Lepisosteus oculatus: one gene and its partner. The protein of the gene in region 1 purifies or fractionates together with the protein of each later gene. This does not show direct contact. Links are inferred from orthologs where the notes say so. Each region holds a gene or a part of one and is shown on either strand. Other genes may lie near its edges.

Evidence for each region.
Region 2: the proteins of mapk6 (region 1) and eci2 purify together in Homo sapiens (affinity purification with mass spectrometry; 3 studies listed by BioGRID and IntAct, with this or other methods). This does not show direct contact. The link is inferred for Lepisosteus oculatus from reciprocal best matches to the Homo sapiens genes MAPK6 and ECI2.

What each region holds. Positions count from the first base shown.
Region 1 is NC_090700.1:44,645,235-44,657,837, forward strand, and holds the start of mapk6 (mitogen-activated protein kinase 6), read left to right. Parts: upstream 1-6,454; 5' UTR 6,455-6,700; intron 6,701-11,529; exon of another isoform or gene 11,530-11,630; intron 11,631-12,603. UniProt on the Homo sapiens protein: Atypical MAPK protein. Phosphorylates microtubule-associated protein 2 (MAP2) and MAPKAPK5.
Region 2 is NC_090701.1:15,725,202-15,737,474, forward strand, and holds the start of eci2 (enoyl-CoA delta isomerase 2), read right to left. Parts: upstream 5,865-12,273; 5' UTR 5,810-5,864; coding exon 5,757-5,809; intron 4,885-5,756; coding exon 4,722-4,884; intron 3,195-4,721; coding exon 3,096-3,194; intron 1,975-3,095; coding exon 1,789-1,974; intron 119-1,788; coding exon 49-118; intron 1-48. Other genes in the region: lipid transferase CIDEA, read left to right, coding at 10,071-10,123. UniProt on the Homo sapiens protein: Able to isomerize both 3-cis and 3-trans double bonds into the 2-trans form in a range of enoyl-CoA species. Has a preference for 3-trans substrates.

The DNA of each region.
Region 1 (12,603 bases):
ATTAACCTGAAAGTTTGAAAGAACTTGCATCACAGTTCAGGAACTCTGTTATTGATTTTTCCTATTAATTTACTTAGTATGAATGACCACAACAACAAGGAATTGCAGAACATTGTATAAAGTATCAAAACCATATGTGTATCATATATGGAAAATACAAAACATTACATAAAAAGTATGTTTCTATCCCTATTTTCATTACAGTCATATTTTCTTTACACACTCTATACAGTATGTGGAAAACAATAGCTATAAACGTTTTGCATTTGTTTTGCAAGATAACTGAACAATTATTTAATCCATCTAGTGACAAATGTTTTGCATTGTGTGTCCGTCTAAATCAAGATACTGGATTATTTGTCGCTGCAGGATGGAACACATTGATCTTTGTTTAATAGTGAAAAGCACCGAAAAACTGAGGTGACTTTGGAACTCAGGGTAAGCCTGAATAAACCCTCCATTGCAGGTCTGACACCATCCGGGAAACCAACATTTGCAGCAAAAGGAGAAAGAATACAGCTGTACAAACATTTGATAGTAAGTATTATAGACCTTTGACACCGAAGTTAAGTCATGTTGCTGAAGAATATGCAATTTGTAATGTTTTGCTGAACTATATTGTAAGTTAATAAAAACAACTAGCAGAATGCACAGATGTTGAAAAAGTCAGTTATAAAACAAAATAATAAACTTCAGCTGTGATTTGTAAGAAGTTAGGCCAGACAAAATATGTAAAGTTAGGGTAGTGGATTGCTTACAATCCCCAAAGGAAAGTGTGGAAAAGCAGAGAAATAAGCAGAGCAAAGTGTGGATCTTAAAATGCAAATATATGTTATGACAGCTAGGAGCTTGACACAAGATGCTAAATTATTGTCTAAACCTTTATGCCATTGAATTACTTCTGTTTAAAGTTTATCTAACACAACGCTGGCTTTTTAGATTGCTATGCACAAGTAACCATTTTAGTATAAAAACTGTTGATTTTCTGTGACTTTGTGTATAACTCTTTGGCATATGAGAAATATTAACCTTTCTGCATAGGAAGCTGTCCTGAAAAGGGGACTGTGCATAATAAAAAAATACAAGTTCAGCAAGGATCTGCCAATAGATTGTTGGTCAGACCAACACACAGTATTACAGGAAATGTGACCTTCTGCCTACACATTGACTCCAAGCACTGTGAACTGAATTCTTTAAAGAGAAGGTGAGGTTGACGGTAATTGACTAGATATGGGCAGATGATATACTGTACATTCTGAAGACAATGAGGGTTACATTGTTTTTCCAGTACATACAGCACATGTCCTAGTGTTCAACTGATTGCAAGATGAAAATACTAAGAGTACCAAGACATGGTATACCCAGGATGTGCTGTACTGGGCTAAGGTACTTCTGAGGGCATTTACACAACAATCACAGCTTTTTTCTAACACACCCTGTGAAAGATTGTATAAAAAGAAAGAACTGCTCTGCCTGCATCCTACTTTTGTCACTCATGTTTAGCAAGAGCAGGCGGAACATTCATCTTATCTTTGACAGTGAAAGAAGTCTGATAAAGGACAAGGGATTAGCCAGAGAGTACAAGAGGCTATTAAGAAAATGTGGGTTCACAAGTTGAAGGTCAGTGAAATGAAATATGATGTGCAGGACTCATTAAGCACTGCAGCGATAATAAAAGACTGGTTATTATGTAACTACTCCAGAAATGGCTGAAGTTTCACTCACTTGAAGGCTATTGTTGTCACATTAATAACTGGGTATTTGGTGACATGTTTGTGGTTTAGATCATAACAAAATCCTTTATTTAATGTAGATTGAGCAATTAAAAGTGTTTGCTGCTCTCACAAAAGAGACCATAAAATTCTAAAACATGATGGTTCTTACAAGTGAATATTATTTTTACATTTTACTCTTCACCGAGTTTACTGTAATATACAGCAATTTTAGTTATTTCAGTGATTTTTAGTGATACAACATGCAGAATAAAATATGGACTGTCTTATTAAAAACATGAAAATATATACTGTCTTATTGTTAAAATAAACACCAAAATAAGCCCAAATAAACACCACAGACCTGAAAGATAAATTTTGCTTTCAAAAACAGAAAAATATTTTCTTTTACAACTTCAGAGTATTTGAAAACAGAGCAGAGGTTAATAGGCCAGTAAAATAATTTTACTATCTTGGTGCATTTATGTGACATTAGTACTTCAGTAAAGTGACAGTTCACTGGAAAAACAAAGGTTTATGTGGAAGTGGAAGTTTCCATATTAACGTTTATTATCTTTTATGGCAATCCTAGAAATAAAATCTCTAGCCTCAAATGTTTTTATTTTTTAAAATTGAACTTCCAAAGCTAAATTGTAATTTGCATATTATTTATATTCTTTTAAGAAAGGAATACCTCTTGATGTCAAGATTAAATCAATTGTCCTGATAACTTTGTCTTTGGAATTTAAATTATTTTATCCTATTTTACATGCTGAATTTGTTAGTTAAATATTTCTTCAGGCTCTTGCATAACACATTAAATGTATAAACGTGCAAAGCAGTGAAATTTGTGACAAAGAAAAATGCTTAATGATTTACAGTTATCTGACATATCATTTTCTTTTCTTAGATGAGTCTCGAATTGAACGACATCTCAGAAAACATTAAGCAAAGATTGTTTGTGTACAGTGGGGGCAAACAACTGATATTTTTGTAAGCAATTTATTGTTCCTACAGTATTTCCAACAGCACATTGAATCAGCGGATTTCCACAGTCAGTTCAGTGTTGGATAATTACTGCTTTGCACTTACTTTCTCACATCTAAAATGTCTCATTGCTATAGGATGTCCCCTGTGCTATCTGCAATAAACACTGAATTCAGGCTCTACATCCGAGTGAGAAGCTTTTAACCAAACAAATGTTTGTACCATAACAATCTTGTACTGTGGACTGTTATGAAATTTAATTACCCTAAACCAATCAATTAACAAGTCCCCTGTGGTACAGTATCCTTATCCTGTAACTCAAACCAAATTATTGTAATGCACTACATCTACGAATAGAAAATTGCATTACTGTAAGCTCAATTCAACTCCCAACCTCTCTTAAAAAAGTGAATTTGAACTCTTTTGGTTGGGAAAGATACATTAAGATTTGACAAACTTGTTTTCAAGGATGTCCTGGAGTCGCACAAAAAGAACAAAGTAATATAATTTCTTTGAATTATATTAAACATAGTGAAACATCAGCACCCAATACCGATCTGAAAATCTCACCTAAGCAAAAAATACAAATCTTTTTTTCCAGTTCTGCAAGATTACTGCAAGGATGAGACTTGCTGTGTCTTCCTATTTAAGAAGGTTTTATGTGTGAGTGTGCAACTATTTTGGGTGCTGATCTCTCACACTGCGCACTGCTATTTCAATGTTTCAGAATCCATAACAGGTTTCAGGAAATGGACTGGGTATCCACAACCCCCTTTGAGAAGGCAGATGATCATGACCTTGATGTGTGGAAAACATGCGGGCTGCCTAGATTCTGAACTGAAGCTCATCCCGATAAAACCAGGAATTCCTCTGTGCTTGCCCCTGGATCTGTTACTGAAAGATCCTTTCTTGTATTTTTAAATGAAGATGCATCCTAATTTCAAAACAAGTACACTGCTTTTTCATTCCTCAAAATATCATGTGTGTGTTGGGGGAAGGGCATATACTAAAGGGATTATTTAACAGTTAATAAAAAAATAAAACACTTCAGTTTAACTGCCCCCATAACACTCATTGTGACATTTTATGAACTTTATACTTAACAACTGTCACATAACTTGTACACTTAATTGCATTTAGAATTGATTTTTTATTGTGATAGTCTGAAATCAGATTTTTAAAGCAACATAATCCCTACAAGTCTGCCAGAATTCACAATCACAGAACAGCAAAAACTACCCAGCTCTGAGGTCATGTATATTTCAAGTCAGGGTGGTGATTGAGTGCATTGTTTGAAATAATGGAAGTAGTGTATGTATGTTAAGCATCTAGGCTTGCCACAACCAGTTGAATGTCATTTGCTGTTTCTGTTGTCCCAGACATGCCAATCTAGATTCTGAATTTGACTCGGATTGAGAATGGTTGGAAAACTCTATCCTAGGAATTCATTTTCACAGAGCCTAGTGTCTGTCTGAACAGTTGACAGATTAAATCATAGTGCTAGATCCGCAGTTCTCTATTTTTGTGCTCATGTAGTGAGTGCATTACATTCGAAAGTATATTTTCTAACATCCATCCAGCCTACACTTTCAAACCACTGCTTCCAGTACAGGATCACGGGGAGCAGGAGCCTGTCCTGGCATGCATCGGGCGTAAGGCAGCATACTGTACACCCCGGACAAGATGCCGTTCCATCGCAGAGCACACACAGACACACACAGTCACACCAGGGCCAGTTTTTCAAGAAGCCAATTAACCTACTATCATGTCCTTCAGCTGTGGGAGGAAACATACAAACTCATCAAAGGTAGTAACCGAGATCTGGAATTTAGCTCAGGGCCCTAGTGCTGTGATACAGCAATGCTAACCACTGTGCCACCATGTGTTTTCTTACATATTTAGGAGAATTGTTTTGTGTTTTTGTGCTGTTTTACTGTTATTTGCTTGATCTTTTGTTTTGGTCTCATTTTTGAAAGGGTAGAACCATTTGACCTTTCCTTTTGAAAATACAACTAAACCTTACTGCCTGACAGGGAAGATCAGGAAAGACCGAAAGAGCCTGAATTTACAGCATTACAAGTATGACCTGAAGAAAATGCATTATGATCATACTGTAGGTAATAAATGGACAAAGATAGATTTTCCTGTAAGTTCTTCAGTTAACTGTTTAATGTTCGTTTTGTTTAAAGGAGTGTAATATTCTGCAGAAACCCAAGGAACAAAATAGCATTATGATCCACCTGCAGGAGAAGAAGAAAGAGGGAACGTAATAAAATAATAATAATAATAATAATAATAGCCTCCCATCAGTAATTGAAATTAAATTATTATAATAGCAGTGAGTTAAAGTGGGCATCGCAGAAGGGTAAGGGAAAGCTAAATTTATATCTGAAGGGTCTGTATCCTCTTCAGACCCACGTGAAGTGTTTGTCTAATGGTTCTTACTAAGGCAGTTGATTACAACATTATTTTAATAGAAAAGAAGGAAAGAAGCAATGATAATCAGAAGCCAACAACAGAGCTAGAAAGGAACATGACCTATTCAACTACTTTAAGAAGATTATAAACAGTTCTGTAAAAAAATCTTACATTCAGGCTCAAGGATTGGCAGTAATGACTGTTTTAAGAATACAATCCCACAGATTTAAAGGAACAGAAATGTATTTTCTTTAATGAGTGCAGCGGAGTGAGTCATCTTGAGTCCCGTGCTTTTCCACCTGTGTTTTGTAATTGACTGCATATACAGTATATGTGCTAACAGAGTACTGAACAAAATTAATGAGCAGTTTATTTGTTTTTTATCGCTGTCTCATTATATAGAAATAGCTGTCTTTACTGTATATCTACAGCACTTTATATATAGCTTTCTCTATTTTTACTGAAACATTCAAATTCAGGGGAGGACAGGAATGCTCTACTTTGGTAGGCTGGATCTTTATGGTCTTAGATGGAAAAGACTACGAAGGGACCTGATTCAAGTACTCCAAATCCAAAGGTTTCAACAAGCTCAGCCTCATGGATCTGGCAGAATCAGCAAAGAGTCAGAAATCGAAATACACAACGTGAACTACTGTACGCGGAAGTGCATTTAAAACTGAGAACAGGGGGCACTTTATGCAAAGGGTAGTGCCTTCTTTTAAGATGTGGGTGGGTGAGATCCTTGCATCAATTTAGCTGCTAAAGAGCAAATGAGCTAGATGGGCTGAATGCTCGTTTGTGAACTTTCTTGTGTTCTGGATAAAAGTTACAATGGAGATGGCCCAGCTTCAGCCTATGAAATACATTGCAAACAGGAGGTAGCCATGAAATGGTTACTATATGCAGTCTACCAGAACCAATTGCAAACCTCGTTGTCTTACCCAGCCAATTGAAGAAGGTTTAAATACAACATTAAGGACCAGGTGAAAACCTGACTATACAGTTAATCTTGAGATCCCAGTAGCTGGGGCAGAAGGGTTGGAACAGGAACCCCTCTATCGGCCCGCAGCCCCCACTGACGTTTGTTCTCTGAGACGCAGGGTTCCAGAAGTGACAGCAGGGCTTTCTTCCAGCTCCCTGTTCCCACAGCACCCATTTGTCTGCAAGCCCCTGATTTGCAGCTGAAGGAGATCAGCTCATGAGCTCAACGTTCACAATTGCAGAGGCGCAGCAAAAGAGAGGCAGAGCAAAAAGAGGAGAGAGGGAGGGAGGAAGGCTGTGAGAGGTGTTGACACTCCTCTGCAATGGGGCTGGAGCTGGAGCTTGCAAGCCAAACCATACACAGAGCAGTCTCCTCCCCTTCTCCCATTCTATATTAATTCCCTGTGGAACTACTACAGGAACAGCTGTACATGATACTCAGAGCGCAACATCACAAACTCCAGATATCCCTGGCTCAGTCTCTGCTGCATCGTACCTTTTCTGCAGTGGACTATCATTCTGGAATACTTATTCTTCTTCAGCACAAAGGGATTATTAAGATGCAAACATGATTCAGAAGCTATCTGAGAATTTTCATGATGGTAAGTGCCAGAAGATTTTAATCTGTCCTGCTGAAGTACAGGTCTGTAGTTGCTGAAGTGACTTTTAATGCAGTGATTTCTCTTTTCTCTTCCTCTGTTAACATCAAATCTAGATATATTTAAAATGTGCTGAGAGATGGCAATTATTCTTTGATTGTCAAGTAAGCTATGAAAATATTTTCATCTTAAAAATTAACAGACCTATTTATATTTCTTCTTTACTGCGGTTTAAATTGTAACACAACAATTTCCTCATATATATTTAAATATTCATACATTTCCTTTGAAATTTGCTCTTCATAAAAGTATGGTAAAAGTTTTGATTTTGATATAGGGTTTAAAAATGCTTAAAATGTTTATCAGATTAAAGTTTTTTTTTTGCGTTGCAGATACATTGTTTTAATTTATTGTAGTAAGTTTTCATTTCATGTATTGTATTTCCCAAACCCAGATTGCATGTTTAATAAAGGGAATAACAGGGAATTCATAAAGCATTAGCACACTGCTCTGAAAGGCAGTGGGCTCAGTATAACAACTCATATGCAAAGCATTAACCTCCAGGGTTTTTTTCAATGAAACATAGCCTTTTCATAGAAACCTCTACATGCAGCTAAAGAAAACTTCAGCTTGCACAGCTATGGACTAAACATAAGCTTCATGTGATGAAATGTATTTAAAATCTACATAAATTTTAAGTTGTGCATAATTTATTTTCTTTTAATAAACATTTGCTGTTAATTTGTGACATATTTAGAAAACAGGAAAACTTTTTTTCACCATGTTCTCACTTTATGGAGCTCTCTCACCACTGTAGTATGTGGGACATTCCAATAGGGTTTAATGTTTTGGTTACTTAGTCTTTGCAGGGTTCACATGAGTCCACTGAGATTAAATAGCCTGGCAGGTATAATTCTGGACTCCTTCAAAAAGGCTGTGTAAGCAATCAGGATAGATCTGCCTTTTGTTTTGCATAAGAAACTGGAATTTATGTAGCAGCTCTCATCCCAAGGAAGCACTTTCTAGTGCAGAATTATATCTATCAGAAAAAGGAATATAAATTAATAAAACAAGCTAAGGTTTTAGAAGAATGTTTCTATTTGAGATCTCTATCACTCTGTTTTGCAAAAGAGCAAAGGAGTGAACATTCCATTTTATTGGTGAAAATGTTAACGCCTTAACATTTTCTCTTCTAAAACTGATGTGATCTGCACTTTGGAATATACTGTACAGTGGGCTTCAAATAACCTAGCCCATTAAGTTTTCACTGTATCACTTGTTCACTGGTTTGAATGGACAGTGGCTGTTTTTAGAAGGCATTCGCACCATTATAGAACACTGATGGGAAACAAAATCACAAATGTGATAATAGTGAAACATTAAATAAACAAGGTGCATTGCTTGACTAAAAAGTTTTGAAGGGTTATTTTCATATTTTAATTGAGGACACAGGGGGAATTCTCCTGTCCAACCTTCTGTGCACAAAAGAAAGAATGTACTGTGTACTGATGGAACACATTGGTGCTAAAGGCTAAAGGTTTTTTTTATGATGAGGGGAGGAGAGTATTTTAATTATTTTACCTGTTGTGAATAATGAACTTGATTCAGATAGGGAAACATTATGCAAGGTTTTATAGATAAAAACAATCTCACAGCTGTTAATGATCAGCATGTAGCCTATACGAATACTTGTTGTGCTACTTGTTGTGCTAGTAAATTCTATTTTATGAGAAAAAAACAATGTTTAATATTTTAGAATAGGAATATATGAAAGATAAACTTCTAATATAATTTGAAGTCTATTGTACATTCTAGGTGGTATTGACAGCCAAGAAGAAAAAGTAAAAAATCATAGCAACAGGGTGATTAAAATGCAATATAATAACCTTGTCTGATCCCACACAAACTCCAGGTGACCTATTTAGAAAATATCACTGTAGAGTTATACAAACTATGGTGTTTTAGGAACAGCTCTGCCAGGAAACTAATGCACAGAACTCTTTCAAGGCAAAATAGTAATCAACTAAAAAATCCTGCATATTCCACATGCAATCAGATCTAACATTCTGGACTTAATTCACCTTTTCTCTGAATTATTTAAACAAAGTATTGGACCCTGCAGTTGCCAATGTGTAATTAAATCCTGAAAGAGAATCGAGGATTGTTTCACTGGTCCTGCTGTCATGCTCTTCTCAGACAATGTTTGTTTCAGCCAGCTCTTATGCAATTATCTTGATGCCCCTAAATTGTGTTAACAGTGGACAATTCAGAGGTATACTGTACAGTATATGATAATTACGTTTTAAATTCACTGTGAGATAAAAACATGGATTAGAATTTCATGAATTAACCATGTATAATGTTTTTTTTTAAGAAAGTAACATATAATGGTAATTAAAATGTATAATTTTGCACAATCGTTAAAGGTCTTCATATTACATTTGTCCAATACATGGCTGATTATATTGAGGAAAGTAAACTTCCAATTATAAACCTGGAGCACCTGGACCACTTAGCTCATTACACGTGCAGGCCAGGGGTTTTACCGAAATACTCACACTCACTAAAGATATAATATTTGTTATGTCCTGCACGAGAGACCGAAGCACCACATTTTCTGTCATTTCCTTGGGTAAACTTTTGAATAGTTCAAATGTGCTTGAAAGCGCAGCTGGCAGCTTTCTGCCAACCCGGACATCTGATATGAACAAAGCATTGAGAAGGCCTAAAATGTTAATGAGCTTTGCAGGACACACTATCTACTTCGCGAAGTCAACGTGTTATTAGATACAATGAACTGCTTATGGACAGCCGGTTCTGGAACATTAACTTCAGCAGCAGCAGTACTACGTTCAAATAATAAATTGGGTAAGGTGTTCAAGAAAATAGAGAAATATATTTTGTATTTTTAAATAGTATTTCAAGTTTAGCAGTGACAACACCTAAAAAGAAGACAGAAAACGATATGTACAGAGTGACAGAATCACAGCAGCCCACTTTCCGAACTATCCAGACAAAAGAGGCTAGAAAACGCGGTGAACTTCTCGGCGTCAGTAGGGAGGGTCATTCTGCTCAGTGGTAACGCAATGCTTTCGGGTGACCTCAAGTTCCTTCAAGTCAAGTTCATTTTTAAAGACATCGTACAAAGCTTGGAGTCTGATTTTATTTTAATTAATTTAAGCAACTGCGTACTTGCGGACAATGTGTCCCGCTGAATGTTTTATAGTTCCGTTATGCCGCCAAGAGTGAGCTGATACTAAAAAAAGCGAAATTCAGCAGGGCACTTAAATTCAAGCCTCAGGTCACATGTTAATAAACATGTCGGGTAAATTTAGTCAATAGTCTGCGCAGTAACCGTTCTGGATATGTCTAGGGGCATATTTCCCACTTATCCATGAAGACGATTTACAGTTCGATACGGTTGCCACTGTATAGAAAAAAAAAGCAAACGCACTTAAAACGTTGTTTTTGGTATTAATATTCTTATGATAAAAAAACAATTCGAATACAATTTATTCAAGGTATTTGCATCCTCTGTGATGTTAAACGGTGAACAGAAGGATTTTTGACCATTAAAACCCCCTATAGCTGGACCACCTCTACAGCAGAAAACCTTATTCTCCTCTTGTCGCATAAACCTCCACCACACCTCCTCCACGGGTATGGCCACAGTTCTGTGCCGCATTCTCCAGCACATGGTTTCTCACATGGCCCGGACCGTGCTGATGCACTGCGAAGCTACAGCTCACACATTCATGCAAAGCTAGAGTCCCTGCTGCTCATTCATCAACTGGGAGATGAGCTCTGAATTCAGATGCTTTCTCGCTCCTGAGGTTACATCATCATTTCCTTTCGGATTCAACAAGTTTGTTCTGGCTGCTAAACGGAGAATCAGTATCATTTAAAAATAGCTGTAGTGCTAAAAGGTTTTTTAGACTGAAAGGAATATAAAACTATTCTTTGATTTTACATCTGCCACTGCACAGATGGGCGTTATTGTGAAACTGACACAAACATTGGCAATAAATACAGCATATCTACATGACACATGTAGGAGTATCTTTCAATGAGATACTAATCTGAAATGCTAATCTGAACGAGTTACTTTGTCCTCTAACTGTATATATACTTATTGCTGCAAAAACCCAATCCCGTAGGATTTAAGAATGAAGGAGCTGTTCACATCCAAACCATATCAAGGACATCTAGGGTGGTTCGCTGTGACAAGCATTAAAACAACGCACCAGAAATAAACAGTGAACCTGTATGTTTTTTTTTATTTCTTTAACAGAACCGAAGAACACACCACATTAAAACATCCTTTTTTAACTATGTGTATTTCAGCGGCTCTTTCAGCACCGAACTTCTCTGTAAAAAAACAAGGTAGCCGCTATTCTGTTTAAATGGGAATGCAGAGGATTACAGTTCGAAAGGCTGGCCGAATCACGTATATCTAGTAGTTGGTTTCTTGTATTCAATTACTGCTACTTTAAGTAGGTGACTGGGTTTTCCGAGAAATTGGAAAAAGGGATTTGACGAAACGCTACCATTCTCCTTCAATATTTACATTCAATTATTACTCGTTAGACATTGATTGTAACACTGCGAGGTGTCCGTGAAACGACGTCAGCTTGTGAAGGGCTTCGAAATTAAAAATGATTTATGTAAAGACAGGTGGACCGATTTTTAGTAGATATATGAATGTTTTCTGAAATGAAAACATTGATGAATAAAAACTGCGGCAGCCTTAGGTCTCTTTTTTAAATTTTGCCGCCACCTTCATCGCCCCCCTTCGGTGAGCCTCGCTGACGCAGCTTCTCCTCTTACATTAGCCTGAATGGCGATTGCAGCAGACTCGAAGGGTCGAGGGAGCGCAGTGCATATCCAGCTAATTACTACCACGAAAAACTTGTAAATGAGGCGGATACGAACAGTAAGTGAAATAATGTGATTCTTTATATCATCCCGACAGCACTGTCTTTTGTGTGTTCTGTCCGGCGACCTTAAAAGCCGCGTTATTTTCGGCTGTTGTACGCGACTGCAATGCCGGTCGGCTCTCCCCGGCTGCTGCCTTTCTTTGTGCTGTCACGACTCGTCGTGAGAGGCTTCGTGTCGTGCTCGCAACCGGCCCCTTTTGTTGCCATTTCTCGTCCGATTTCTGAATAAGTAAGTGCGGGAAGGACGCTGCCTGCACGAAGCTGAAGTGCTAAGGTCGATAATGTAACAGCGCAGATCTCTCCCAGCTGTGTTGAGCTTTTTGTGCGTTAATGTGTCCGTCTGCCCTCGGCGATCGCCGGGCGGTTCGGCTGCCGCCGCCTCGGCTTCCTCCTCAGCTCCCGGCGTCGAGCTGCTTTTGTGAGGACACGGTCGGCTTCGTCCGCTCTACAACGGCGCCTTTCCCTTCCTCTTTCCAAAGAAGAGGGTGAAATGATTGATTGTTTATTGAGATCTTTTTGGTGTGGTTATTCTGAATTAAATCCGTGTATTTTGAAACCCAACTCATTATAGAGGCATTGTGCACTCGAGGCTGTTACGTGGACGAGCATGTTTTCTCCCCGCTAAGTGTTGTAAAATGCTCTTGCTTGTTTTTTTTTAAAAAGTGTTATTTTTATGTTGAGTTTTAAAATATGGTACATATTTTTAAAATGTGGTAGTTAAGGTACTGTTGAGATTGACGGCAGTTTAGAATGGCATTCTCTGTAGGCTGGCCTATTTTTACATAACACTGTTATCAACAGCAATATTGCGTGAAGTGATAGCGTGAGCTGTAAACTTTATGTACTGAATACCTTTAATTACACGTAACTCCTTAATTGTTTTATTGTTGTGGAAAAATATGGCATTTCATCAACTAGTACAGTAGTTTTGTTTAATAAAATGTGGTGTTATTAGTAATAAGCAATCAA
Region 2 (12,273 bases), on another chromosome or scaffold:
TCTTGGCTGCAACACACCAAGATCAAAAGGTGAGGACAAGAATGGTACCTGTCAGTACAGTTATGACACAGTCATTATTAGCTGCCAGCTCCAGGGCTTGCTTAATTTCATTGTACATCTGCAATAAAGAAGGAAAGGGCCATTGGACACAAGTTCAAGGACCAATGAAACTGATCAAACAGGTATAAAGAGATGGTATGCTCATACAGGTTGACATGTCCTAAAGCAAACAGTCACTGAAAGAGATGCCAATCTAGCGAAACAAAACAATACACGGGGGAAGAAAGTTTAACTCTTAGCAGTGCAGTAAAGTTGTGAATATATCACAGAAAGTGCAAAATTTAATATAAACCTAACCTTGTTCATAGTTGCGACAACCTTCATTGTGACTGATTTTTTTTACTCCTGTTGTAAAGTAATGTGAAAAAATAAACAGAAAAGTGACCGTCACTTTCATACAGAGTGATTGGTATGCCTCCTCTATCCGATTAGGGATTATCCTTGTTAAATACAGAAAGGAGGACCCAAAGGAACACAGCCCAGGAGTTGGTTATTGTAGGTATAGAGAAAATTAAATGCTATGCAGCTAGTAGTATTAAAAGTTTCCATTACTGCTACTGTACTTGCAAGGGTGACTGAAAGAGATTATAGACATTTTACAAATAATGGCAAGGTTGTTCAATTTCATAAATGAGCCTTTACTGCTCTCCAGCAAGTGTAAATTATGCATTATTAGCTGCAACTCTTCACAGCTCGGGAAACTTGAAGACAGAGGTGCACAAATTATTTATATTTATGACTGCTTGAAAATGACGACTTTGCAAAGAAGTGACATCTTCCATCTAAAAAATCATGAATATTACAGCATTAATAATAAGGTATTTGTCTTCAGCCATATCAAAAGGGCTGCAAGGTATCATTTACATCACCCACACACAAGTTACAAGTATTTTTATTCTGACATTTTGATTTGGGATTCATTTAATTTTACATCTGATTTAAATGTACCTTGTTATAAACAGACTAATTCAATTACAAACAGAATAATAGCTATACAAGCCACCCCAATAATAGAAATATATGATAAAAAATTACCTTCTGTAGGTCCAACGTACCCAAAAATGTTTTAGAACATATGCTTTATAAAGTTTAATAAAATATCTCTGTGTTTTGAAAACCACACATATTCAATACATGAACGCTCTTTGATTTAATATGAATATCAGGCTTGGATGAAAATATACTACGCATGAGATCCAAGATCATATGTCACCTGTATTTGCTATGATAAGCCTGCAAGTCTGATTTCAGTAATGGGGAACATGGACAAAACTTTGAAGGCTGGACTTGTAGCTTTTACAACTTCTCAATATCTCTCTGCTTATCAAATGAAAAGTATATTACTATCATATTTATAATATGGACAGTATAATAAAGTTTAAATGCCTGAAAAATGTCCTCTTCAGTCATATTTCTTACCTAAATGCTTGCAGCAGCTCTAAGTGTGTATAAGGTGCTGTACGTCAGTGTGTAAGGTGTATGTTTCTCATGTGCCCCACGTCTCCCTGTTCTCCAAAGTAGAAAAGTTTGTTAAGTTGCTATTTATTGGGCGGGGGGGGGCAGCTTGCTTCTACATTACCACTATACATGAGGGGAGATTTACCTGTGTAGGACTGTCAAACGGTACGAGTCGCAATGTTCTCAGCTTAAGACCCTCTGTGGCCCCCATAACCTTGGTATTAACTTAACATTAACCACATCTGGTTTTCCTGTTCAACTCTGCCTTACCAAGACAGTAATGGCGTTCTTCTTCTCTGGTCTGTTCATGACAATGGTGGTGATGTTGTCCTCCGTGGTCACAAGCAGTGTCTCAAACGTAGCCTGGCCCCCCGTGGATGACGTTTTTGGCTGCGCCGGTGTTTCTGCAGCCACCAGGGACTCTACAAGGTCTACGTACTTCTGCCTGGCCTCCTCCTAGTACCAGCAAGGGTTAAACAGCTAGTTCATTTTCACGGTCTTTACTGAACAGTAAAAATAATACCAGTCCAGCTTCGCTTGGTAATCAAAGAACTGAAAATATTGTGTAATACAGTTCCCAGTTAAATCGGAAACCACAAGAAGAAACACTGCCAGCAACGCATTGTAATATGTCAGGATTCTGGCTCCGCTGTTCCACCCAGGATCAATGCAACAGTTAGATCCTGCAAAAGTGTTTAAATCAGGAAACTTAGACGCTGCATTTAAAGTGAGTCATGAAGTATCAAAATATTAATAACAACTTGAATTTGCATAGTGCCTTTCATTTTAGAGGACCCCACTGCACATATAGGTGGGGATTCAGTTTATCCACAACAGAAGGGCAACACACATCCACATTGAGAAATAATTTCATTAAATAAATTAAGGGGGAAAAATAGGGAGGGCAGCAAATTTTTTAGTAGGAGGATAAACTTACTTGACTCAGGTGCAGCACAGTATATAGCAAGTCTATAGAATGATGGTTTCCCTCGGTTTATCTGTCTGACTGCATATGCTAAAGTAATTCCCTTCTCCTCTGTAAGGGACCAGAAATAATGTCTGGAATAAGACTGGAGTGATTGTATATATATAGCCTCTGGATACGTGGTAGTGCCATGGCTGTTCTGAATCCTGATTTACACTGCATGATTTTGAACATTCTTATATTATGTACTCAAACCACAGCTTATGATTTGCAACTCACAGAAATTTCTTTAATTGTTTTAAAAAGTAAGGCCCTCATGTGGCACGTTTACAGCAAACGAATGTTACGTTATTGAAAAACTTGATTTAACCAAGTCTGTGTGTTTTGATGAAGACTTTTTATATGCCTACAGGATCTACAAAACTGTTTGGAGTACAGAGACCCTGCATCCCGCATGTGAAGAAATGCAAGACAAAGCAGGAGGAAAAGTAGTCTTCATTTCTCTAGATGTCCCCTCACCCACATCTTCTGCAGAATCTAGTGCTTCCTTTTTGCCCCCTTCTTATATTTCTCTCATTCTTGCAATATGAAAAAGAAATCTGATTATTTATAAAGCCTAAAGAACAGTAAATGATAATAGTTTGGTACTCACCGGTGATAGACTGTCAAGAGACTTCCAGGCATCCCACTTGGCCTTGTTGACGAAGTCCAGCATGCTTGGCTTTGGAATATTGCAGGGACCCTGCATGGCCTAGACATATAGAACAAGCAACACAATCATTTAGCCATTCGGCTCTCAAAGAGATAGCATGTCTTTTTCCATTTAAAACAACTGAGAAGAGCAAGCAGTGCTACAACAGAAGATTAAGGCATCAAAACAAGACCTGACTCAGGTGACCCAACCCAACAAGGCCTTAGGCGTGTAGAAACCCACAAGAGTTCTCGCTGCACAGCAGGATAATGAACTCCTGACCATCTACAAGGCCCACTCAGATGGCGATCAGTGTGACAGGACTAATGACATGGCTCAAATACAAACCTGACTTCTAGATTATGGGACCCAAATGCATGGTAAGCATAGATCTTTACTAGTTCAGCTACTCAGAATATCCACTTTAGAGAGTGAAACCTCGGTAGTAGAGTCGCACTACTTGTGCAGTTCTTTTTGTGCTGTACTGAAACAGAAAGCCGTGGTGATGCCAATCCAAGCATCTACAATTCTGTAATGGATCTAGATGACCCCATTCTTGTGTTATATATGGAAATGGAATAATATCAAAATTATCCACAAAGACATTAGTTCTATCGAAAGTAAAGTCAGTAAATATACGTCTACAGTATGTGCAATACAAAGGAAAACCACAAGTATTGGAAATTCATGTGTTGCACTAGTGTAGATTTAGACTTTGAACGAAGAATGATATTCTTGCAAAGCAACAAAAAAAGAGAAAAACATATTAGCCTTTAATCCAGAAATAAGTACATGTGTTACTTATTTTCCATAATATATGCACCAATTATGATAAATATGAAAATGTATTAAGCAGAGTAGTAGTAGAGCAATTTATTGCCATATGTACACACACATTGGAATTCTTAACCGTGCTGATCTCTTGGGACACACGGTACAACAGACAACACCACACGATGCAGACAGTACCTAATTAATAACAACAGGAACAATAAGTATGTTGTGGGACAATAAATATGTAGTAGTGAGAAAAAAAATGGTAGACCATGCAAAAAGTGTGTAGTGCAGATGTGTAATGAGTTTGAATGGAAGCATGGTACTGTAACGCATACGGCCACCAGTGAGTGTGTAAGAGCCGGCTTACCAGAGCGGTGACATCACCGCCCTTCCCTGTGATAGCAGGGCCCACAGCCGCTGGGCTGGGGAGAGATCTCTCTTTAGCTCAACGGGCTGGGTCCCTGTTGAGTGACGCCGGAGGCCCGGGTTCGAGTCCCCGACGGTGGGGGGCCAACCTGATGCGGCAACAGCGAGGGAGCCCACGTGAACCCCGAATCGTTACAGAACATTGTCCAAGTTGTGTTTTTGTTGGCTCAAGTGCCAAACAGAGGACAGGCGAGCCCCACTGGTACTGTAGCTTCACTCTGCTCAGACACCTGGACTCGAGTATGGAAAACAATACTCACAAGCCTGATCCAGCTCTGCCCTATGTGAGTGGTTTTCAGTCAGTCTTGGTCTGCTGCTAGTGTGCTCCCTCCTGCTACAAATGACAAGCCCTTTAAAAACACCACTATGAGGTGCGAGTATCACCTGTTTAAAAAGTGCATATATTTTCAATTTGACTTCATTGCCAGGGTCCTTTTTCAGTTTGCTGAGCTTGTCCTTGGCGTGATTAAAGTCCTCGACAGTTGCCCCCATTAAGGCCCCAGTTGTATGAAGCTGAAGTGCTGGTAAGCGAAAGGACTGAAACAGTCTGAGGAAGAAAAGAAAGACAGTATTTAGAAAGTATTTAAAACATTTTGAATATTCTAATAAATATTTATAGAGATGCAGTACACTGCACTGTGTTGGCAAACCAATCATGGCTGTTAAAAAATAAAAAATATATTTGAAATGCATGTGGAATAATAGGGAGTTTCAACAGTGTAGACCCTACAGGCTGTTACAAACATAAACCTCACCTTTATTTCACCAGTCCTCTCAGGCCTACATATGTTGTAGGAAGAATCATTTTAGTTGTTTCTTAGACGATCTAAAAGAATCAGCTTTAACAGGGGTGGCCGGATGGTAGTTCAACAGATACACAACCTTGTTCCTCTTAGGTGTGCCTAAATTTCTCACTCTTAATTTCCACATTTAGTCCCCAGTCTCCATAGCATTATGATTGAATCGGTAACTTCAGCTGACATTTCAAAGCCTGACAAATCTACTAATTCGAGTAAATCACCGTTTCCAGACAAGGAAATATATGTACACGTCTTTGAACTCCTCCAGATTTTTCCTTTTTGAAAAGCGAAAACAATCATAGAAGAGATTGTTTACTTTTCAAAAGCTATGTCTTCGAGACTGATACTATGTTTGACATAAGAAAGCCATCGCGGTCTCTGAAAACGTTACTAGTTAATGAGTCAAACAAACAGAAAACTAACGATTTGCTTGCTTTAGAAATGTTGTAATAAAAACATAACCAAGCAAACTTGGATCTCGTACAATCAACCCGTGCAGCATGTCAACCTTCATTGCAGCTGCTAACATTACAGCAAAACCAGCAAATAAACCTCCAAAACCTACACAAACCGCGGCTGGACAAATATTCCACAATTATAATTCACTCTTTAAACTCACCTCGCAGATTTCATGAAACGCCAGCTATAAAGCAGAGACACGGCTGCAGCCATACTATTGTCGAGGTCAGTGGGATAAAGTTCACCGGCAATCTAACAACCCAGAGTCTTACCCCCTTTCTGTTCAACCCCTCCCTTCATTTCGTACAAGTCAAAGCTCAATTTAGTGGCTCCCTCTGCTGGTCGGAGCACGTAGTCCTTTTTACAGTGCAAATACAGTCTACACCTTGTGACTAAGCGTGGTTAGCATCTGCACATTATAAGCATTCACAACTTCATGTTGAAGTTAGGAGCTCATGGTTAGTATTCTAGTATTCAGGATTAGTATTCTACATGCAGATGTTGGAGTCCCTGAACACCAATCAACACCTGTTCTTCAATATTACAAATGTTTGAGTGTCTCTTGTAAGTGTTATGTCTCTGCATTAATTTTTTCATTGTCTTTCACCTTAGCTGGCACAATATGACAATGTTTTATTCAAAGCGAACATTACACTATTATGAAGAAAAATGGCCCTTCATGTTTCCAATCCTTCTTGTTTGCAATCTTCTTGTTACACCTGTGTGGTTCTGTCTATTTACACCAATTTTAATGCAAAACATCAGCCATGCCTCAACACAAATAAAAACAAGAAAAGTCTCTATGAGGTACAAAGAATCAGATGTGTTCTTTTTGTCTGACAGCAAACCAAGAGCTAGAAGTTTATTTATTACTTTAATATAAATAAACTATAATATAAAAGAAAAACAAAAATACATTTGAGACATTGGATCATTTGTTTTTAAATCACTTTAAGGTTCTACAATAAAAGGCCCATTAAACCAGACACAGACATGCAATGGCTAAGGCAAGTAGGCCTGTTGTTAATTACAAATCTTGTTTTCCTCATAGGTTTCCACATCCCTAAGAACATACAAATGTTTCTATTTGGTTATTTTCCCCATTTGGTTACTAGTAGCTTTTCAATTCAAGAATCTAGATAGCAGCAGTTGTAATAAAATTGCATGTTTGGTGATCACTTATTCAAATCAGAAGGAGCAGCAGGTTAAAAATAAATTCCTGTTGGTCTCCACATAATATTCTCCAGTAGCCTTACATGAAATTAATGTGTGAAGGAGGTTTAAGATGGAGACCCATTTAAAACTAAACAGCAAACTAAACTGAGACAATAAAGAAAACTGCTGCTCATTAAAGATCGCAAGGCACTATTCCAAAAGAGTAGGGATTTTAACCCTGGTGACCTTGTTAAATACCACTCTTGACTTGTAAAATCTGGCCTACCTAATGTTTCCCCTTAACTCTATTGATGAAGCCATTTGTCACTTCTCTACCTTGACTGCTCTGTAGTGAGACTGGTGGCTGCCACATGTTACCCAGGTGTCCTCATCTGCATGTAAAGTGATTTGGGACCTTTGAGTTGAACAATGCTATACAAAATGAAAACTATTGTAAAGATATTTCACTTTAATGTTATCTTTCTTCTCAACCATTGATTGCAATTGACAGATTGGTACTTACTGTCACTGTAATTCCTATTTTAATGCTTTTCTACAAATCATTTATTGAAAGTGTTTTAACATACTGTCTTACCTTTTTGTGTGGCAACATCAGTACTGCAAATTGAAATAGGTGGTTAAAAACAGGTTTGGAAAAATATTCGTGAAGATTAGTACTAAATTCATTAGGGCAAATCAAATCAATGTAAATGCCCATTTTGGAGCGTGTGCCACATCCCCTCCACTGTGAATTTACACTACTCCCATCTGGGAGACACCTTGGTGCCCATAGGAGTAACAACAAAAAGCACTAGAAATAGTTCATCCCTTAAGCAATCATGTTCTCAAACAATGTAAAGTAACTCTCTTATCTTCTGAAACACTGTTGTCCTGAACTCTTTGTTGGTGATGTCTTGTTTTTGTTGTATTGTTCTGTTGGACTCTGCCAAAGTACAAACTTCCCTCAGGGGACAATAAAGCTTGAAATGAATCAAATTACGTTTTCAATACCATCCTGTCTTCTGTACCAGATGGACAGGTATGCTAATTTTGCAAAGTAGGGTGGATTTTGGCACTGCTCCAACCTGTTTTGTTGTTGCCAAGAAAGTTGCATAACCTCTTTGCTGACAGTGGGGGAAAAAAACAGCAGCACAAGATTTACTCACAAATAAGTAGAATTAAGGAAGCTAACAATACATAAGCCTCTTACATGGAAGTAACTCACACACTAGATTCCTACAAAACTACATCTGAAGTATACATTAAGTCACCGAGCATAAGTCCTGTGTAAACTCAGGAATTCTTAAAAAATGCTATTGTGTTTCGCTTTTCTCTGAGTTATTTCTTGTGGCATATAATCCTCATAAATGTAAAGGTCAAATAATATGTAACTGACAGTTATATATGCACATTTAGACTGTTTGCAGCATGATTAAATTGCTGCTGCTGTTTTCATCTAATTTCTATCATCCATGCATTTCTAATAAACTGCATAATGGGTGGAGCAGTGGCTCTGTACATAAGTATCTGTGCCTGTGGCTGGAAGGCTGCAGGTTCAAATCCCGTGGCTGGCAGAGGAATCCTACTCTGTTGGGCTCCTGAGCAAGGCCCTTAACCCCAACTGCTCCAGGGGTGCTGTACAATGGCTGCCCTTGTGCTCTGACTCCAAGCTTCTCTCCCTGTCTGTGTGTCTCATGGAGAGCAAGCTGGGGTATAAGAAAAAAAAGATGAATTCCTAATGCAAGAAATTGTATATGGCTGACAAAGTGATCTCTTATCCAATACTGGGTTGCACTGTCTCAGAGCCCAGTCTGGCAGACAATGATTACAAGGCAGGATACACCCTGGAAGGAATGTCAGTCCATCACAGGATGTTTTAATTAGTTACATCAAGATAACCAGCATGCACTAGGCCATTACATCGTTGAATCTCAAGTATCACTGCTTCATTTCCATGGATACCAGGACTTCACATATTTCCTCTAACACCACAGATAAATTAATGCTGGGGACAACAAAACAAAGCAGCACGTGCTCTTGTTAACTTTATTGTCGTAACTGTGACCTTGAGATTATTCTAGTGCTTCCAACAGAAATCAAAAAGCTAGAAAAGTGCTTCAGAAACGTATATCTATGGTGGAAGGCAGTGTCCATTTCAAAATGAAATGCTCAGATGTTCTGCGGCACCTGTTTCAGACAGCAAAATACTTTAAAGACTTAAAGACTGTGGAGACTTGACTGTCATACACAGGCTCAAATTTATATTTTATTGTTTCTTAGCCTAATGTTGTTCAATACAATGCACACTGTTTTATGCAATATACATTATAATGTACAATATAATGCAAAGCAGCTGTTTCTTAATCCAGTATTTTACAATATAATGGAGAGCAGCATATGCATTTCTTGGTTATAAATTTATCCAATACTGAAAAATTACTAAATCTATTTTGCCACAAGGTTCAAGTAGTCATCACTAAGCTCATGTGCTACAGGGGTTTTCAAAGACCTGTTCACTTTCAAACATTCGTTCTGGTAGCCATTTTAAGAGTAATTTAAGAAGACATTACAGGAGGTAGAGACTTTACAACACATACACTTATAAAAATGTATAAAGCAATTTGATTAGATCATCTCGCCCACTTCAGAAGGATCAAAACACTCGAAATGACTGGGACACTTGACAAGTTCAGTTTTTCCATTTAGAAGCCATTCAGTATCAGTTACTCAAAATCTCTTAAAGTTTTATTTTACTATAACACTACTAACAGCTCATCTGTACAGAAATATAGCGTTATAGCGCTAAATAGAATTCGTATGCCATTAAAATCAGTATGTATTTCAAGTTTTTTTCCCTCAATCTCAGAAAAGGGGATGTACTGTACCTTAGTATTGACTTATCGGGTTGCATATTCATTTGGCAGAACAGGCAACAGCACTCAGTTTTAAAATCGAATGTGCGTAAAATCGGAGATAGACTGGAGGACACAAACAGGTATGTAGATAACTGGTAGGCAATCGCTTATGTGCCTTGGATTCCCAGTTCCAAAAAAAGAAAAATAATACAAGAAAACGTCCCCCTTCCCCTCCTTTCCTCGTCATAGCCTTCTGCAGGTAAGAACCAATCAGATGACCGTAATGGCATCAAAACACAAAAGCATCCCCCCCAATACCCCCGAAAATATATTGTGCGACTGTGGCATCTGTTTATCAAGTAACCAAGTGACACTGTCTGTGAGTGGAGAAGATCTGACCTCTTGCTGAGCGGAGAAAGGTTACTGTAGTGACCGCACTGACCACTTGCTCGGACCGGCGAGCCATGGAGTACGCTAAGGAATACGCCAGCGCTTTGTCGCCGCGGACTCTCATAAGGCGAGTATTTTTTTGTTCAGAATGGTGCCATTTTATGCAGCACAAATTTGTTGCGTCAATACCTCTGTTGTTAAAAGAAATGCATTTAATGCACCTACGTAACATTTCACACATTATTAAATAATAATACCCGAAACATGTCGGCGAAAGAAAAAAAACATCAATACCATAGTTTTGAAATGATTTCAATGTTTCGGCGAATCAGGCAACATTCTAACATTTTTAATCTAAAAAAATAAGACTGGAGGATTTCATATTTACACGAAAATCTTCCGTATCTTTTACTTAAGACCCTATATTTAACGCTGCTGATTAAAAAAAATGTCGAGAACACACCGCATTCCATTTAATTTAATTGATCAAGGCTCCTTCTCTGTAGCCGGCTTTATCAAGACAATACAATTAACTAAATTATCTTTAGGACCTCTGGCTGATTTGTATAAATATAACGCACTTGGATACTTAATATTTGTTTACAGTGTTTAATAGTTGTGCAGCCGGATCTAATTGTTTACTTTGAATGTTTCTTCATGCACTTGTACTGTTTTTACATTTGTTAGTCATAAATGAAACACATTATTCACAGTGTTTATCATGGAAAGTTACTCCCCATACCCATCTCGTCTGTTCACGCTGTGTTGTGAGACCCCGAAAAGTGTCCCCCAAGGAAGACGAGCCTTATATTCGTGTGCATAAAGGGCTAGGCTAAGTCATAAACAATGCTGGCGCTCTTGACAGATCAATAACTAGTAACACAGAACTCTAATCTGAGTATTATGTAAAGTGGATTCCCACACCAGACTCAGGGTTTATTTTGAGGTTTGGTCTTTGAAATTGCAATTATTGGTGACATTCTTTTCATTTACCATGTGAACGTTCCGTTTTTGATTAAATATGATAATGAATTTGATTAAAGTGATAATCACAGGTAAAAAAACATGCTATGGGACTTTTTTGTCCACATGCAAATAAAGCCACGACTTTTCATTAGTAATTTTTGCTCTGTTTGCATTTGTGCTACATGTACAGAAACTGGTAGTGACGTTGTACGGTTTCCATCTTGTGCACATGACACTCCTAGAGGTCTTTAATACAGGAATGCGATGGCTAACAGGAAGCTGCACGTACACGTATTCAATATAAAGCTCCAAATGATGAAAACTGGTAAGATGTTTGCATGCTCATACGAAGTTCACTAAAACCAGTTAAATTTAGGATGACCTTAGTTCATCCAAAAACTTCATCTTGGTTTCAAACCTATTAACTACAGCTAAACCTATTAGTTAGCTACAGCCCTACCCTTGTCTGTTGTAAAACCTTACTTTAGCTCCCATGTTAAGTCAGAGATGTAAAATTAGCATTAAATCCACCTCTAGGGCTGCAGAATGAGCAAGAACATAATTTAAAGAACAGACTAGATTTATCATGGAGAATAGAGGCTGTTCGCCTGTGTTTATTATCATACACTTCAACCTTGGTGATGTCTTTCTTGAGGGCTTGTTATATTTACTGTATTTGCTCATATGCATCAGAAGCATAGGTTTTGCGCCAACCCTAAACTAGTTCCATCCCTTTTCCCACCTATCTTTTAGCCATGCTGAGAGATCCTTTTACAAGCTGGGCTTTGTGATTGTGGTTGTCTTGTTATGCACCACGCCCAGGTAACCAAGCACATTTAAGTGCGATACAGAAATTGGCAGGGCGCTTCAAATTAAACATTACTATCCATTTTCACAACATTCTGTAATTTTTTGTAGAGTAGGGGTCCCAAGCCTGCTTTGCTAAGCCCACACATCTGCTGGCTTTTGGTCCAGCTCCAAGTCTGTTACACCATTAAAACCTTAGCTGAAATTAATCCCATGATTAAGTCAATTATGTGATTGTCTTTATCTCTTAAACATGTCGGAGGTTGTCTTTTAACTATTGTGTTTTAGAGGTAACTTACAATTCCAAGAGTATTTTTTTAGCAAATGCTCTAGTCATGCATCTTGTTAATTCAATTAAGGGTGAAATTAAAATGATTCAGTGAGTGTTTTGAATTTCATATTGCAAAGGAGTAGCATAGGTGCCTTGATTTTCCTTGCGTATTTATTGTAAAATATACTATTGTATACTGTATATAGAGTGGAAGCTTGTTTTAGTTTCTGCCA